Linked DNA regions of Callithrix jacchus. The protein of the gene in region 2 purifies or fractionates together with the protein of the main gene of each other region. This does not show direct contact. Links are inferred from orthologs where the notes say so. Each region holds a gene or a part of one and is shown on either strand. Other genes may lie near its edges.

Evidence for each region.
Region 1: the proteins of ACVR1 (region 2) and TGFBRAP1 purify together in Homo sapiens (co-immunoprecipitation; 3 studies listed by BioGRID and IntAct, counting the BioPlex papers as one, with this or other methods). This does not show direct contact. The link is inferred for Callithrix jacchus from reciprocal best matches to the Homo sapiens genes ACVR1 and TGFBRAP1.

What each region holds. Positions count from the first base shown.
Region 1 is NC_133515.1:15,340,059-15,348,338, reverse strand, and holds the end of TGFBRAP1 (transforming growth factor-beta receptor-associated protein 1), read left to right. Parts: intron 1-951; coding exon 952-1,385; intron 1,386-3,058; coding exon 3,059-3,235; 3' UTR 3,236-6,242; downstream 6,243-8,280. UniProt on the Homo sapiens protein: Plays a role in the TGF-beta/activin signaling pathway. It associates with inactive heteromeric TGF-beta and activin receptor complexes, mainly through the type II receptor, and is released upon activation of signaling.
Region 2 is NC_133507.1:72,101,245-72,109,510, reverse strand, and holds the start of ACVR1 (activin receptor type-1), read right to left. Parts: upstream 5,445-8,266; 5' UTR 5,152-5,444; intron 1-5,151. UniProt on the Homo sapiens protein: Bone morphogenetic protein (BMP) type I receptor that is involved in a wide variety of biological processes, including bone, heart, cartilage, nervous, and reproductive system development and regulation.

The DNA.
Region 1 (8,280 bases), on a different chromosome or scaffold from region 2:
TTTGCTACACAACTAGCAATGTCTGCCATGTTCTTCAGGCCTGAGAGACAGACAAGATTCAAATGCCTATAATTTGATTATTAGCCTTGACCCTGAATTAAGGATTGTCCTCATAATATTTCTTCACAGTAGGAAGAGATCTTATAATCTCTTGGGGATATAAAGACAGGTGAGACTCGCTTCTGGTCCTTAGAGACTCAGAGTTTAATTATCTCAGAATGCAGATAAGGGTGGTGGAGTTCTAGAAGGGCTGGGATGGAGGTTACAGATGGGGTGGGAAGCAAGGTGACTTTGTCAGCGAGACACAGCCCACTAAGGGTAGGGCCTTGGTCAGGAATAGTGCTTCCTTTGGGTTATGTCATTTTCCTTAGGACCGGGAAACTGAATTGCAGGTGAAACAAATAAAATATCCTATTGTTGGCAACGTTTTGTTGAATAACGTAGAGATGGATTTTGAATTGTATGAGCCCATATTCCATTCCATGAAATCTACGTTAAATTGGAATAGAGGGGTTCAGCACACCTTGTGGGGGAAGTAGTATTTGTTAGGATTTTAGGGGACTAGGTGTCCTATTTTAGTCAAAAGATACTGTCCTGAAAGGATAGCAGTGATGATGGAGTAACTGGAGACCTGGAAGGCTGATACTGAGCCCCTGGACCTTTCTGAGGTTGTGGTTCATTTGTTCTATTCATCCTCTAAATGCTGGAAAAAGGAATTGTTCTGTGGCCCAGCTATACTTTTGAGTTGAGTCTGCCTTCTGTTTTACTAACACCCGGATCCACAGTGTGAAAATGCAAGAAAACCTTCCCTCAGTTATCTGAGTGACAGCATTTGGCATTGTGAGGGAACCCGGTTGACTTTGCTCCTCCTGAAGCTCAGGAGGCTGGTTGCTGGGCGGGTGGCCAGCGGGCCCCTTTCTTTCTGAAAGAACCATGGGTTCTGTCTCACAGAGAGGCTGCAGGGAGCCGGCCTGCCCATGGAGAGTGCCATCCTGCATGGGAAGCTGGGTGAGCACGAGAAGGCGCTGCATATCCTGGTGCATGAGCTGCGGGACTTTGCAGCGGCCGAGGACTACTGCCTGTGGTGCTCTGAGGGCCAGGACCCGCCCCACCGCCAGCGCCTCTTCCACACGCTGCTGGCTATCTACCTGCGTGCCGGCCCCGCCTCCAACGAGCTGGCAGTGGCCGCCATGGACCTGCTGAACCGCCATGCCACCGAATTCGACGCAGCCCAGGTGCTGCAGATGCTGCCCGACACCTGGTCAGTGCAGCTCCTCTGCCCATTCCTGACAGGGGCCATGAGGGGCAGCGTCCATGCCAGGAGGACCATGCAGGTGGCTCTCGGCCTGGCCAAGTCAGAAAACTTAATTTACACCTGTGATAAGGTGAGTACCGATCCTCACGAGCTGCTTCCTGGCCAGTCAACGTCGTATGGAAGGTAGATTTTACTGATGGAAAATAGTCTTTGTCAGTTTTTCTTTTTTTCTGTCTCTGTGACTATAACACATCAATATCTGATCCTACTCATAGAAACTGAGGTCTGTGTGAGCAGAGGCAAAGACTGGGCTGGTAGGTGTAACATTGGTGTAGTTTTTCTCCCCTTGTGGACGCTGGTTATTAAGAGAATCTGTGGGAGAGCTGTGGGGAGGAGAGCAGCAGCAGAATATCAGGCGCTTACCCAGCACATGCCGTGTGCCAGGCACTGACCTAGCATTTTATGTCATGCTAGCTTTTTGTTATCATGACAGTTTTATGCAGTATCTGCTGTCAGCATCTCCATTTCACAGGAGAGGAAACTGAGGCAGAGAGCAGTCACATGCTCAGGAAATGGGCACATTCAGAGCTGCCTCCCTGACCAGTTCAGAACCCCACATTCTTGGTCTTCATGCTATATTCCCCTTCTGGAGACTTCTTTCTTGTAGGCCTGAATTCCACATGGCTGGCAGTCTTTTTTCCAGAGTGGGAATCTGACATGTTCCCCTCACACTTAGAAGCCTTTGCTGATGCCCCTGGCCTGGAAGATGTAGCCCATCTCTCCCCACCTCTGCTTTCCAGCACATATCCTGGCTTTAGCAGAACTTTGCAGATGTGACTTGGTATTTCATACTTAGTTGCTTTTGTAAATGCTGTACCCACTGTCTGGGATATTCTTAGCTTTTTCTTTGGGCCCAGCAAATGCCCAGTCAGAACTTAGCCCAAGTATTTTTTCCCTTGTGAAGCCATCTCAGACCTCTTAAGTAATCACCTTCCCTTTCACCCACCTTCTACTTAGTGTTTGCATTCACAGGTGTCACCCTGTACTATTGGAGTTTGGGTTCTTCGAGGACAGGGAACTTCATTTCTTTATCTCAGTGTCCGTAGGCTAAGCCTGGCATGTTGAAGGCTTCTAGTCCATGTTTGTGGAATGACTGATGCAACTACGGAGTGCAGGACGAATCACTAAGCTGCTGCTTGATCCTGCCAATAGACCAACCTGCCTGGGTTGACACAGGTGAATTGTGTAGAAAAACTTCATAACTTTCAGAACTCAAGTCCTAGTTATCAGACAGGAACCCATGGCATTAAGACTCAGTTTCACCAGTTACATCTAAGGAAACAAAAGGGTGTCTCCCAGGACCAGCGAGGAATATGCCACTCATTAGCTCTATAACTTTGACTACATCCCTTATTTGTTTGCAAATGAGAGAACCCTGAAATTCAACTATTGTATGGTCCCATTCAGCATTAACATTCATGCCTTTCTGATAGGCCGGGCTTGAGATGATCAGAGCCCAGAGAATGTTGGAGAGAGGATCTTGGGTAGAAATGCCTCAGCCAGACAAGCAGCAATTACTTTTGTGAAATAAGAAAAGCATTTATGTAGCTTTTTTACTTCTCCAGTTACTAAGGATGGTTTTATTTACACCTTTAGTATTTTGTTTCAAGAAGTTGATACTTAAGAAAGTCTCATAATAATAACCCATGGAGTAACGCATGTCAACTCTTCAAAACTAGGACATAGCCACTTTAAGTATACCTAACACATGACACCATTCTCAGTCTCGGTTTCTTTTTGCAGATGAAGTTGAAAGGAAGCTCAATTCGGCTCTCAGACAAAAAGCTTTGTCAGATATGCCAAAATCCCTTTTGTGAGCCTGTGTTTGTTAGATACCCAAATGGTGGTCTTGTGCATACCCACTGTGCTGCCAGCAGACACACGAACCCCAGCTCATCCAGCCCTGGCACTCGGACTTGAAAAGCTTGGCCCGAGGACATGAGGGGAACTCCGAGTTCTTTCTGAGCCTGCTGGACGTGAAGAGCAGACAACCATCATGCTCTGTGTCAGCTAGGATGAAGGGAGACATCTGGGTGCCAGGGAGCCTTCCGTCCACACACAACAAGGACTCCTCACTGCTGACCAGGCTCTATGAATGTTCATGGAAAACCTTTAAAAATCCCAAAAATAGAGACATGCAAGAGTTCACCTCTCCAGGCACTTAGTAATCCAAGACAAAGGTGTACATTGAAAAAAAAGGGAGTCTTCCTCATGCAGTCAGACCCAGGTGGGGGATTCCCCCACCATCCCCACACTCCGACCTTTAGACTCATGTTTGCACTGGAAATGTGGCTTCGGCATGACTGGAGAGGAAGCCCTCTCTTGCCTGGTGGGCAGAGCCTCATGGGGGGCAGCCCTGCCCTCACTGCAGAGACACGTTCTCCATCCAGGCCGCTCACTCGTGAGCCCGTTTCCCAGGGTTACCTCGTGGGCTCTGCCTTTGCCCTAAGAAACGGCTGACCCTGGAGAAGTACCTTTGTTCCTTCTTACTTCCTCTCCAGCTCTCAGCTCCCAAAAGATTCTGCCTTGTGTACCCAAGACTCACTCTTGGGTGAACTCATGTCTCTGGCTTCCTAGCAAGTGAAGATCTGTTGAGAAACTGAGAAAGCTTCAAGAGAGAAGCTGCTCTCCCCGCCTTGAAGAAGCCGCGGACACGGGACAGCCGTGGCGGGCACGGGACAGCCGTGGCAGGCAAGGGCCCAGCTGTGTGCCCCTTTCCTGCCACAGCATCTGCTGATTTGAAACTCCATGATGAACATGTTGAACTAAACATTTTTATTTAAATTTGTATCATGTTCATAGTTGCTCTCTTGTTGAGGGAGTCATCTGTCCTGTTTGTTAGGCATATTTTTCCTTGTTAAAATGTACCTCCTGTTGAATACTCGGGAAATTAAAAGGGAAGCATAGTCAGCACACACTGAGCATTCTTTTCTGGAAAGGCCGGTTTTAGCCTCACACCTTTAGCAGGACCAGCAGCGGGTGGAAGTGCCTGTGTGTGTGCTGGACAGGGGCATCACCTCCTGTATGGCACACCCTCCCGAGGACGTCCAGACAGGCTGTGTTACCTCCCAGCACTTTATGTGCCTGCTCTGAGGTGTCCTGAACACACAGCAGAGGCCTCTCATTCATCACAGGCCGGGTATTCCTTTTGTGTTTCTGTATAACATCGATGATGAGCTGAAGCTGTTGTCACTTCACTGCCCTCTTCAGAATTTCTTCATTGTGATGACTGATTTTATTCAATTAGGGACTAACAATAAAGGCAGTCTACCCACTACGATAATGCTTGGGAAACAAGGGTCAGCTTGTACGTATGACAAGAGAGGACCCTGATTATACCCTCTCTTCATCAGCCCAAGCTTTACTGAGGTGGGATGAAGAGCTCATTCTCTGTTCTTTAAAACGTGTTTCCTGTACTAATACTGGTCCATGTATTTTTTTTTTTTTTTTTGTCCTTTTGAGATTCTAAGTGGGCCAAGAAGCAAAAACATCCATGTGTTGTTTGGGAGGAATTGGCACCATTTTTTCTTACCTATGTTTCAGTTAACTAAAGAATAAATGATGAAGAAAATTCTCCTTGTAGCACAACTGTATGCTGTGTGAATTGGTGTGAGCTCAAAGCCTGGTCATGTGTTTTGCCTGTGGGTGACTCTGTTGTAGAATGGTCTTATTACTGCATATGGTATCATGACAACTTGTGAGTTTGAGTTTATATTTCTCAAAGAACAAGTTACCCATATATGCAACATTGCACTATTAAAAGCTCTATTTCTCTGTCCACAAAATGGGTGAAATCTTGAAAAAGCTTAGCAATTGCTCATTCCTAACACGGGGATACTAGTCTTTTTTTTTTTTGAGATGGAGTCTTACTCTGTCGCCAGGCTGGAATGCAATGGTGCAGTCTTGGCTCACTGCAACCTCTGCCTCCTGGGTTCAAGTGATTCTCCTGCCTCAGCCTCCCAAGTAGCTGGGACTACAGGGGCATGTCACCACACCCAGCTAATTTTTGTATTCTTAGTACACACGGGGTTTCACCATGTCGCCCAGAATAGTCTCCATCTCCTGACCTCATGATCCACCTGCCTCGGCCTCCCAAAGTGCTGGGATTACAGGTGTGAGCCACCGTGCCCGGTCAACACTAGTCTTTTTAATTTTTTCAGTGAAGATTGATCAATACTCTGAAATGTTCGTTGTTCTTTAGAATTGTGGGAATTAAATTTGAGCAGTTTTTCATCTCTACCAAATCCTTAACCGCAAGCAGCATTCTATGACAGTATGAAGAATTGTCTAATATGTTAAAACTGTACTTTAACCTTTCTGTCACTCCTCCAAGTTCCTTTCAGTTTGTATTTTTGAGAGAAATGTATGGTTCTTTCTTACAGGCCCGCTGATTTGTAACCGTGCCATTGAATAGAGCAATTAGACCCATCAGGCCATTTTCCCCTCATTAGGTTCCATGTAACCATTCTAGTTAAAACAGCATGAACTGAATCCAGTTTACACTCATATTCGATGGGCAATACTGTTTGGTTTTTGGAACTGTTTATCTGCTGTTGCCTATCAAGTATTATTGTAGGAGTGTCATGCGTGCCGCAATGCACTGGGCTGAGTTCCGCTGCGAAGCTCCCACTGATACGCGCTTACGTGTGCCTCTCACCTCCGGAGTGCAGGCAGGTGGCTGCAGGGTCCCAGCTCTGAATGGATGCCCGTGACACAACTGGGGCAGCCCTTGCTTTTTGCTTGCTCTCACACAGAAACCTTTGTCCATGCTACTTTATCCTTTGCCCCCTATTGGGTCCCAAATACACAAAATGTACAAATGTAAACTTGCTCATTCTTTTAGTTCTTTGTTCTTTCTGTAATTTTTTTAAAATAAAAATTACCTTGATGGAGTGATGGTTTCCACTCACGCCATACCTACTCTAAAGAGTTCTAGAATCTGTACCTTCTTGCTTTTCCCAGCACCTGTGGAGGACTTGAATTGGAAACCCCTTAAATTCTGCTACTGTTTTACCAATTTTGAACCTATCTGCTTCTGAATTTACCCAATGTATATTTTAGGGTGCTCCTTGAGATTGGTTGCCTTCAGATTAATTATGCACTGAGGAATTCAATCAAGGAAATTTCTGATTACTTCTTACCTACTTCACCTTTTAGCCAGATGCTCTTAAATAGGCCTGCTACTCTTGGATTTCTAACCCTGAGCATATTCAAAGAACATAACTCTTACAAAATCTTACCTTTTAATTTTACTTCATCCCCTACACTGTTGTTGATGGTGGGTCTTTCAGCCATCCTGGTGAATTTCAGAACACTTTCTCATGTTCTTTAATTCCAGGTGCTGTTCCATCCCTGAAGAAAGGAGGATGTTCACACACATGATAATCTCCTGAGGAGTTTTTTATTTTGTTTTGCTTTGTTTTTTATGAGATGGAAGTTTGCTCTTGTCGCCTGTACTGGAGTGCAGTGGTGTGATCTCAGCTCACTGCAACCTCCACCTCCTGGGTTCAAGTTATTCTCCTGCCTCAGCCTCCCATGTAGCCAGGACTACAGGTGCTCTGCCCACCACACCCACCTAATTTTTAAAAAAATATTTTTAGTAGAGATGGTTTCACCATGTTGGCCAGGCTGGTTTTGAACTCTTGACCTCAGGTGATCCACCTGCCTTGGCCTGTCAAAGTGCTGGGATTACAGGTGTGAGCCACCACACCCAGTCCCCCTGAGTATTCTGATCCTAATCTCAAATACGTGTGAATAGAGGTGAGGTGTCATGAACTCACACATGTTTCAAATTGAAGAAGCTGAGGTGCAGTGTGTCGAGGTGGTTTTCTTGGAGTTGGAGGAGGTGCCAAGCTAGAGCTGTGGTTCCTGCCTGTAGATTCTCCCACCTCGGGCTTCACCAACCCTGAACAGACAACCAGAATACAGCCCAGGGTGGACTCATATTGGCTTTTAGATTCCAACCATCGCATTGCTGTTTTTAGAAAATCATAAAGCAGCAGGTACATATTCTTTTCTCATTTTTACCTCGTTGTTATCTGAAGGCCCATTAGCATATTAGAGAATAAGAAAGAGGGAGACTTCAGACATATAAACCCAACCGGAAAGGAGGACGTGTAGATTCACACTAACTGCATCACAAGAATGTTACAACGGCAGATTAGGCTAAATGGTTGGGGGAGAGTGTGTACATTGATGTCCTAAATGTGTCTGTCAGTGAAGGCAAAGACTGGTGTCTGACTCAGTTAAATGGGCTGTGACTTGTGTTAGAGTAATTAGATATTAACTAACACCCCATTTGCGCTTAGCAGATCTGTCAACCTTAGCGTTTGAAATGAAAATGTACAAGAATCTAGACCATATGGACTAGAGGCCCTTTCACCTTCTCAGAAAAGCCAACTGGCTGGAGCAGCGTCCACGGCTTGTTAACAGTTGTTGGGAGATAAGCACTTGAATTAATGAAGCCCACTTTTCCTTAGCTTGCAACTGGGGCAGGGAAACAAATAGCTATCATTCAGCCTGCAGTCCAGAGTCGTAAATTAGTTAAATGAGATTACGTGGCATGTGGCAAGAAGGGCTTGGCAAGCAATGCGTGCCACTCCACCGGGCAAGCATGACTTGAGAAGTCAAATGTCAGGTGTCGGGAGTCTGGGCCTCTTGGGGCTGACACATCTGGCTGTGGTCCTTGGTGAGTCGGGTCACCCAGCCCTCCGTGCCTGTGTCAGTCCATTTTTGCATTGCTCTAAAAAACATTCGAGACTGGATTGTTTATAAAGAAGAGGTTTATTTGGCTCGTTGTTCTGCAGGCTGTACAGGAAGCATGTTGCTGGCATCTGCTTCTGGGGAGGCCGCAGGAAGTGTCTAGCCATGGTGGGAGGCCGGGGGGAGCAGGTGCATCACAGGGCAAGAGCGGGAGTGAGAGAGCAAGGAGGAGGTGCCAGGCTTCTTTTAACAGCCAGCTCTCA
Region 2 (8,266 bases):
TGAGCCCAGGTTTATATATTACAAATAAGTTTATGCAAAAAACTTCTGAAATATCAACTCTTTCTTATCTTCAACCTGAAGAAATTGTTTTTTACAAGTTTGAAGTTTATTTTGAATAGAATAGTGAAAAAAGTATGTTTTCTGGTCATAATCAGAAATCACGCATTGAAATAAATAACACATCATATAAAGTGATCATTCCTCCCACAAAAGTCAGTAAGTGCCACAGGTCAAAGGATATAGAAAGTCTAGGGTTCAGACCAGTGTTTTTCAAAGGAACTGTGCAACGCTATTGTCAAATAAGAAAAATTAACATTATAAAGATGTGACCCTTCACTAATGAAGTATTTACATTTAACAAAATCCCAATAATAATATGTTTTCTTCATGGAGGGGAGAGGGTGGTAACTAGATATGGTTCTTTTAAAGTTCATATTTTAAACACACACACACACACACACACACACGTATTAAAATTCTGTGAAATAGGACTTAAAATGGGGAGACTTACCCCTATGAAAAAGAAAAAAAAAACTAAGCCTCAAAAGTTCTAACAATGAAATTCTGCTGTATCAGTAGGCAGACAGATTAATGAAACTAAATGGTTAACCCAGAAATAGACCAAAATCTATATAGGAAATAACAGTATAAAAGAAACCAAAGGAGAAAAGTTGGGACTGTTCAGTAAAATTGGAAGGACTAGCCAATATGGCAGAGACTGCTCCTTTTCCACTAAAATTCCTTCTTTTCTTCTTCTTGGGTGCAAGGCGGCCCACACAGACTTCACTTTTCAGTCTCCAATGCAGCTAGACATACCCCTATAATGAAGTTCTCATCACTATAGTTCTCATCTGTAGTGATGTCTGTAGTTTCTGATCACTAGCCCTGGACTTTCTCCTTTGCCCTTCCCATGGTGGGAACCCAGCTGTGGCAGCAACTCAGATATGGCCATGCAGATAATCACAGCAACAATTACTAGAGCCACAAGACAGAAGGAACACAAGCCTCTGACTGATCAGTGGATATGGGCTGTTTCGCTGATCTGTTTTGCTTACACTGGGACTGTTAAGCAAAGAAAAAAAAACAGGTTCTTCAACAGAGAAACTATAAGGGAAAGAATGGGCTGGAGGCGGAAACCCCAGTTTTAAGAGACTTACAAGACAAAGATAATGCAAGACCAATCTGTAGGTCTGAACACTTTGTTGATGGACTCATAAAGAAAGGCAAGGAGGCAATTACTGTAGTGTAATACTATATAATATACTGTTTCTTGGCCTGCAAGAAACTTTTGTGTTCTTTGAACCATAGCATATTTCAGTCCTTCGGTTACAGCAATTCAACCTAATTAACAGAGCATCTAGAGAAGAATTAAGTTGAACTCATACCTAAAATTTCAGATGGATCAAAGGCTTAAATCTAAAAAAAAAGCCCACATGACACTAGAATGAACCAGAAGATAGTAAGTTTTTAAATCTAAAAACGGAAAAAGGTCTTTTAACTATGATACTATGATATTGACCATTTCCTCCAATGTAAGAATATAAGTTCTGCTGTGGAGCAAGAACTGGGGTCTGTTTTGTTTTGTTTAAACTATTTTACAGCCTGGTCCCTAGAACAAGTTCTCATACACAAGAGGCATTTAATAAACAATCTTTGAGTGAATAAATTGGCAATCTTAACTATACAACATTTTTAATAACCTGCACGACAAAATAATAATTATTTCTACACAAATGGCCAACTGAGGAAAATATAAATAGCACATATCACAGGATAAAAAAGGGGGAACCGATAATTTTGATGTGATATTTTGATAATAAAAATCATAACCCAATAGCAAAATAGACAAAGAACACAAACATAGAAAGAAGATAACTAGAAATAAAAGTGGCTTTTAAACTTACGAAAAAATGCTCAATCTCAAACCAACTATGAAAAATGCAAATGAAAGCACATTAAACTGCCATTTTTTACCTATTACTTTGGCTAAGAAATAAAATAATCAGTTTGGCAGTCATATTTGACAGGCAAGGGCAGGAGAAATCAGTGTTCTCACTCATTGCTGTTAAATCTAAAATTTGTTAAGGTCTATAAACAGATCAATTTGGCAATAAAATTTCTACCAAAATTAAAATGTATGTAACCTTAGACCTAGCAATTCTACTAGAAATGGATCCTAGAGATACACTCACACATGTTTGAAATGATATATACACAAGGTTATTCCCCATAGCTTTGTTCATGATAATAAAAACTGGAAATGATCTACATGCCCATCAATATCGTTAAATACATGATAGCACATCTCTACAATGGAATACCAAGTATCTACTAAAAATGAATGCAGTGTTACGATGGAAGAACTTCCAAGAAACATTATTTCAATGAAAAAAGTTACAAAACTGTGGATACTGCTACCACGAGTGTAAAAAAAAAAAGAAAAATTGTAATATAGGTTATATGCATGTATATTATATACTCTGAAATATCTGGAAGAATACACAAGAAAACGGTAACAGTAGTTGTTTCTAGAAGGGTCACTGGGTACTTGGGAGACAGAGGAGGGAGACTCAATTTTCACTCTACGCTCTTTTGTGCCTTTTAAATCTTCTATGCACTAATAATACTACCTTTCTAAAAACAAATGCTTTAAAAAAATAACAAAAATACAAATATTCATTGCCAACGCCAGATACCTGAAAACTTCTCTAGTGACTCTTACCGTTAACCACGTTAGGAAACTACCGAGCTGAACACTTTTAACCCTGTTTCATAATTAAGAATCACAGGGGTAGCAATTAACTACAGCCATCATCTCCTTCTCCCTCAAATAAATATATACACAAAATAAAGTCTGTCTCTTAATTCCATCTCTGTTATTCATTACTTCCTCTTAAAACAAATTCAACCTCATACCACCTTAAATGGGCATAAAAGTATCTCAAAATGCTCACAGGATGGTAGCCAGAACTAACAACTATGCTAATATATTAACACAGCCTCCAAAAAACAAAAATTTGACACAACTGATGCCTTGGCAACAGCCCCAAGCAGTGCATCGTCTGCCTTAGAAAATAAAAACATCCTTAGTGACCAAAAGTCCAATGTCAATAGTCATGGCCTTAGTTTTGTCCCTAATGTGAAAGGTCTCCCGCCTACCCCCTTTAAATTATGGACTAACCTCTCACTTGAGGACTGGTGATTATTACGTTACAGCCATAGAAGGGAAACTAGGCAGGGATTACTCACCCTGACATTAAATTCCGCTTAAAAGGAAAAATATCTGTAATATACCAAGTCAAGCTAAAAAGCAAGTTGTGAAATAGGATGTGTGGTCATGTTCCACCAATTTTTAACATGATTAATATGCATATTTTGTTTGTATATAAAAACATCTGCATATGAAAACGTTTGTAAACAGGAAAGTTTGTATTCCAAGATTTTAGCCAAAGGTGAAAGAGGAAAAGGAAGAACTTTTATCTTTAGATATGGCTATGCTTTATACTGTTTTGTATTATCTAACATAAAATAATCAAAATTAACTTTCACATAAAATATAAGGCAATGGGGGGCTAAGGCAGGAGGATCACTTGAGGCCAGGAGTTCAACACCAGCCTGGGCAACATAGTGAGACCCTGGCTCTAAAAAAAAATAAACACCACCATCAGGTGTGGTGGTGTGCATCTATAGTCCTAGGTACTTGGGAGGCTGAGGCAGGAGGATCCCTTGAGTCCATGAGTTTGAGGCTGCAGTGTGCCATGATTGCATCACAGCTCTCCAGCCTATGCAACAGAGTGAGACCCTGCCTCAAAATAGTAACAACAATAAGACTGTTTTATAATAATACATTAGACTCTCGTTTGAAAAGAATGCAGCTAACAGCTATATCAGAGACTTTCCTCAAAAGTATTAAATCTAAGAAGGCTGCATAGATCAATCCTGGCAGAATTTAATCCTGAGTTCCTTGCTTCTGTCTCCATATACACGGTTCAAACCATATCTAAGCAACCTAAACACTAAATTCAGAAAGACACACACATCAACATTTCGCACTTCAGACCTCCCTCACAGAAACTTCTTACTGACTCTATTCCAAGTAGGTATTCCTATTACTCCCATAACTTATCACACCCTTAATAGTATTTCACCCTGGACAACAAGACTTCTTTTTTTTTTTTTGAGACAAGGTCTTGTTCTGTTGCCCAGTCTGGGCTGCAGTGGTGCGATCACAGCTCACTGAAGCCTCAACTTCCCAGGTTCAAGTAATCCATGTGCCTCAGCCTCTGAAGTAGCTGAAGATAAAGGCACCCGCCAATACGCCTGGCTAATTTTTTTTTTTTAAGAGATGGGGTTTCACTATGTTTTCCAGGTTGGTCTCAAACTCCTGGGCTCAAGCAATCCTTCGTCTTTGGCCTTCCAAAGCACTGGGATTACAGGCATGAGCCACCATGCCTGGCTCAAGTCTTCTTTATGCTTTTAAAACACTCCACAGGAAATACATTATTAAAATGTAGTTCTGGAAAAGGTAAATGTATGGACACAGTAAAAAGCCCAGTGTGATTGCCAAGGGCTAGTGGAAACAGGAAATGAATAGGTAGAGCACAGAGATATTTAGGGTGCTGAAACTACTCTGTAGAATACTATAATGGCAGATGCATGTCATTATTCATTTGTCCAAACCCACAGAATGTACAACACCAAGACTGAGCCTAATGTAAACTATTGCCTTTGGGTGATAATGATGTGTCAATGTAGGTTCATTGATTGTAGTAAATGTACTACTCTGGTGTGGGATATTGACAGTAGGGGAGGTGTTGGGGAGATAGATGAGAACTCTCTCTACTTTCTGTTCAATTTTGCTGTGAACCTAAAACTGTTCTAAAAGAAACAAGGTCTATTTTAAAAGAAAAAAATTAATGTGGTGGCCCTGTAAGGTGAAAAGGATGGCAGAGGCATTTTACAGGTAGGGAAACATTGGCAATGTTTATATGAAAAACTCGGCCAAATGTAAAGAATAGCTGTGCAGATCCACCCCACAAAGCCTACTATGAAAGCAATGGCAGAACTAAGAACTATGAGGGCAGTCCTAGCTTTCTCATATTGAATTCATATTAAAAAAATAATAATAATCATTTGTGGCAAAGAATTTACCCTGTGGATTTGATCTCTGCCAAAGAGTTTTAAAATAAGTGATTTGTTGATGTGGCTGCACTGCTGGTTCTGGCAACGCCGCTTTGAGAGCTCCTGGGTAAAGCTGACTCAGCTACCTTAACACAGGCTCCCGGTCACATCTGTCCACCGTCCTTCAAGCTGCGTGCCCTCCTTCAGAGCTTCTCTCACTCTGGTCACTCGGGTACTCGGGGAGTAGAAGAGGCGCTGCTGGGATTATGAGTTCTCCAGCGGCTCTCACTTTGGCAATGCGACGCTTAACAACGCTCCAGGCTGCAGGGAGAAAGAAGAAAGAAAATAAGCTAAGCAGAAGAAAATTCTGCAGTTGTGAATGCGGTGGCTAAAGGAAGTGCACATTTGGCACACCTTTCAATTAGGACCACAAAACAAAGCCTATCTACAAGTGCAGCAAGTACAGAAAAGTTTGAAAACACTGATAAGAACAGTGCAGAGGTCAGGGATCTATAACGGTCTTTAAATATTTTTCTAAATAACACAAAAACCAGTAAGATTTGCAGTCGGCACTTTTCAAAATCAAGTTCCTTTAAAGCCTATACACTGTGTACTGCAGACCTTTCTTCTCTTTCCTTTGCCACACACAAAGTCAAATAAAAATTTGACTCTGCATGTACTATTACGTGCATTTAGTTTTTTTAAAAAAAAGTCTGAGCAGTACAAACTATAGAATGAAAAGGTTTCCTCCCTTTCCAAGATCCCTGGCCCCTCTTAGAGGCATCCAGTATACCAGAGTAACCAATTGCTTGTACATCCACTCAATCTGATTTTGGTCTATTTGCAAGCAACAATCTCTGGCATAGACAGATCTGGTTCAAAGGCTCATAAAACAATGGTGGGGAAAGAGCACAAAGCGGAAGGGAAGAGGAGGGGAGCTCTAGATAACTAATATAAAACAAAAACCCACCCAGGCTCCCTTTTCCTTTAGGAAGACTTGAAAAACATCAACATTTGCAAAAGGAAGAGGAAATTTTTATTAGAACCAAACTTTCCCATTCAAATCGTTAAGTAACACAAAATACTGAAGAACTTACTGCTTTCAGAAAACAGCACCTTTTTTTAACCTCAAAGAACATTTTGCCAAGAAAACCTTCATGTAAATAAATCTAGGCAGAAAACAAACCCCAAATGTATCACTCTGCAATAATTATGGGGAAAAATCTTTCCATCCACCTTGGAATTCAAGGGAAACGTTTTACAGATACTATCAAACCGTTCCTCACTTCAGCTTAAATTGAGGTTCACAATCTATTTGAAAAGAAAATCTAGACATATAATAGGCACAGTAAGAATAAGACATGTACAACTATCCTCCATAGAGAGGTTAACCAGAAATTTGTGTTTTTCAGCAATCACTTAGCAAAATTAAAGAGCAAAAAGGCATTTCTAGAGTGGGCATCCTTAAAAACAAACTCCTCAGCTGAGCAGCACTCAAACCTTTGAGTTTCAGAACAAACTATTGAAAAACTGGTATTTTCCAAGATGCTGAGGCCAGGGAAATTTGGCAGATTTGCACTAAAGCTGCTCTCCCCTCTGCCAAAAACTAACTGCATTTTAAGAGGAGGCCAGTGTTCAGCTGTCCTGCCTACGGTCAACCATGTCTTTAAGTGAGAGTTACTGTATTGGTGGGAAAGAAGAGGTTTAGATAAGCCGAAAAATAAACACTGGTACATATATTTCTGATTCTCTTTAAAAATCAGAGACTTTTTTTTTTCTCATTATGAAGGTGCTTCTAACTTGCCATCCAATATCCCAGCCCCATCATCTTCACCGCACAAAATATCTTCTCATCCTTTAAGACAGTGTTTGAGTTCTCCTGCCTCTGTCCATCTTCTCTAAAGATTCTTATATTTCCCAGATCTAATTCCTCTGGTATTTATATTCTATATGACTCAACCTAGCACTTAATTCTCCGCCATGCACAGGGTTTGTCAAAACCAATTTAAAACTAGGTAAAAAATCACATACTATTCTTCAGTTTTCAGCTCTATTTCATGATACTTAGCACATACTTAGTGCACAAAACTTAACTGGATAAAAATTAAATCTCCAAGTTAAATATAATTTAACATTTGTTTTAAAATTCACTGGGCTCTCAACTAAACCATGGACTGAAATCAAAACTGTGGTGTATTACGAGAAAGACCAGGTTGGTAAAATGGGAAATAACATGTTGAGCTGGATACTTAACGCTTCAAATGTTCTACATCTCCCCACAAATACCCTTCAGTTGAGCTGGACACTTAACACTTCGAATGTTCTACTTGGTACCCATCTCCTCAAAAATACCCTTCATATCGATAGGCAAGTTCGGCAGGCCTAAAAGGTAGCAAAAAACTGCTGTGTTCAAAACCCCAAGAGAGATTGCAAATATAAAAACAATCTCCGTAAAAAGCTATATGCACTAATCAAATTCAGTGCTATTGTTCAGGCACAGTGGCTCACGCCTGTAATCCTAACACTTTGGGAGGCTGAGGTGGGCAGATCACCTAAAGTCAAGAGTTCAAGACCAGCCTGGCTGACATGTTGAAACCCTGTCTCTACTAAAAATAAAAAATTCACCAGCCATGGTGGCAGGCACATGTAACCCCAACTACTCAGGAGTCTGGGGCATGAGAATCACTTGAACTTGGAAGGTGGAGGTTGCAGTGAGCCAAGATCAGCACCACTGTACTCTAGCCTGCACAACAGAGGGAGACTCTGCCTCAAAACAAAAAAGTAATAAAAACTCAGTGTTATAAAATAAATATCTATATAATAAACTCTAGCAGCTTTTCAAAAACCGTTCATTGAGCTGAGTTTTTTCCCCAAAAATTTAGCCAACTTATCTGGCGATGGAGTTTCAATCCTTGGCAGCTAATCAAACTGTGTAAAAGTCTGACTCATAAGGGTCAAAGGCACCATCCCGTGCAAGGGGCTGGAGGATGACTGTGAAGGGGAAGAAAAATCCAATCGAATTTTCTGACTCTAATTTTGAGCATTTAACATTACAGTACAGTTTTCTGTAATCCAGTTTAAAAGAAGAGGCATAGTTTTCTTAAAAGCTGTTGCAATATGATGAGACCTGAGTAACAGGCAAGCA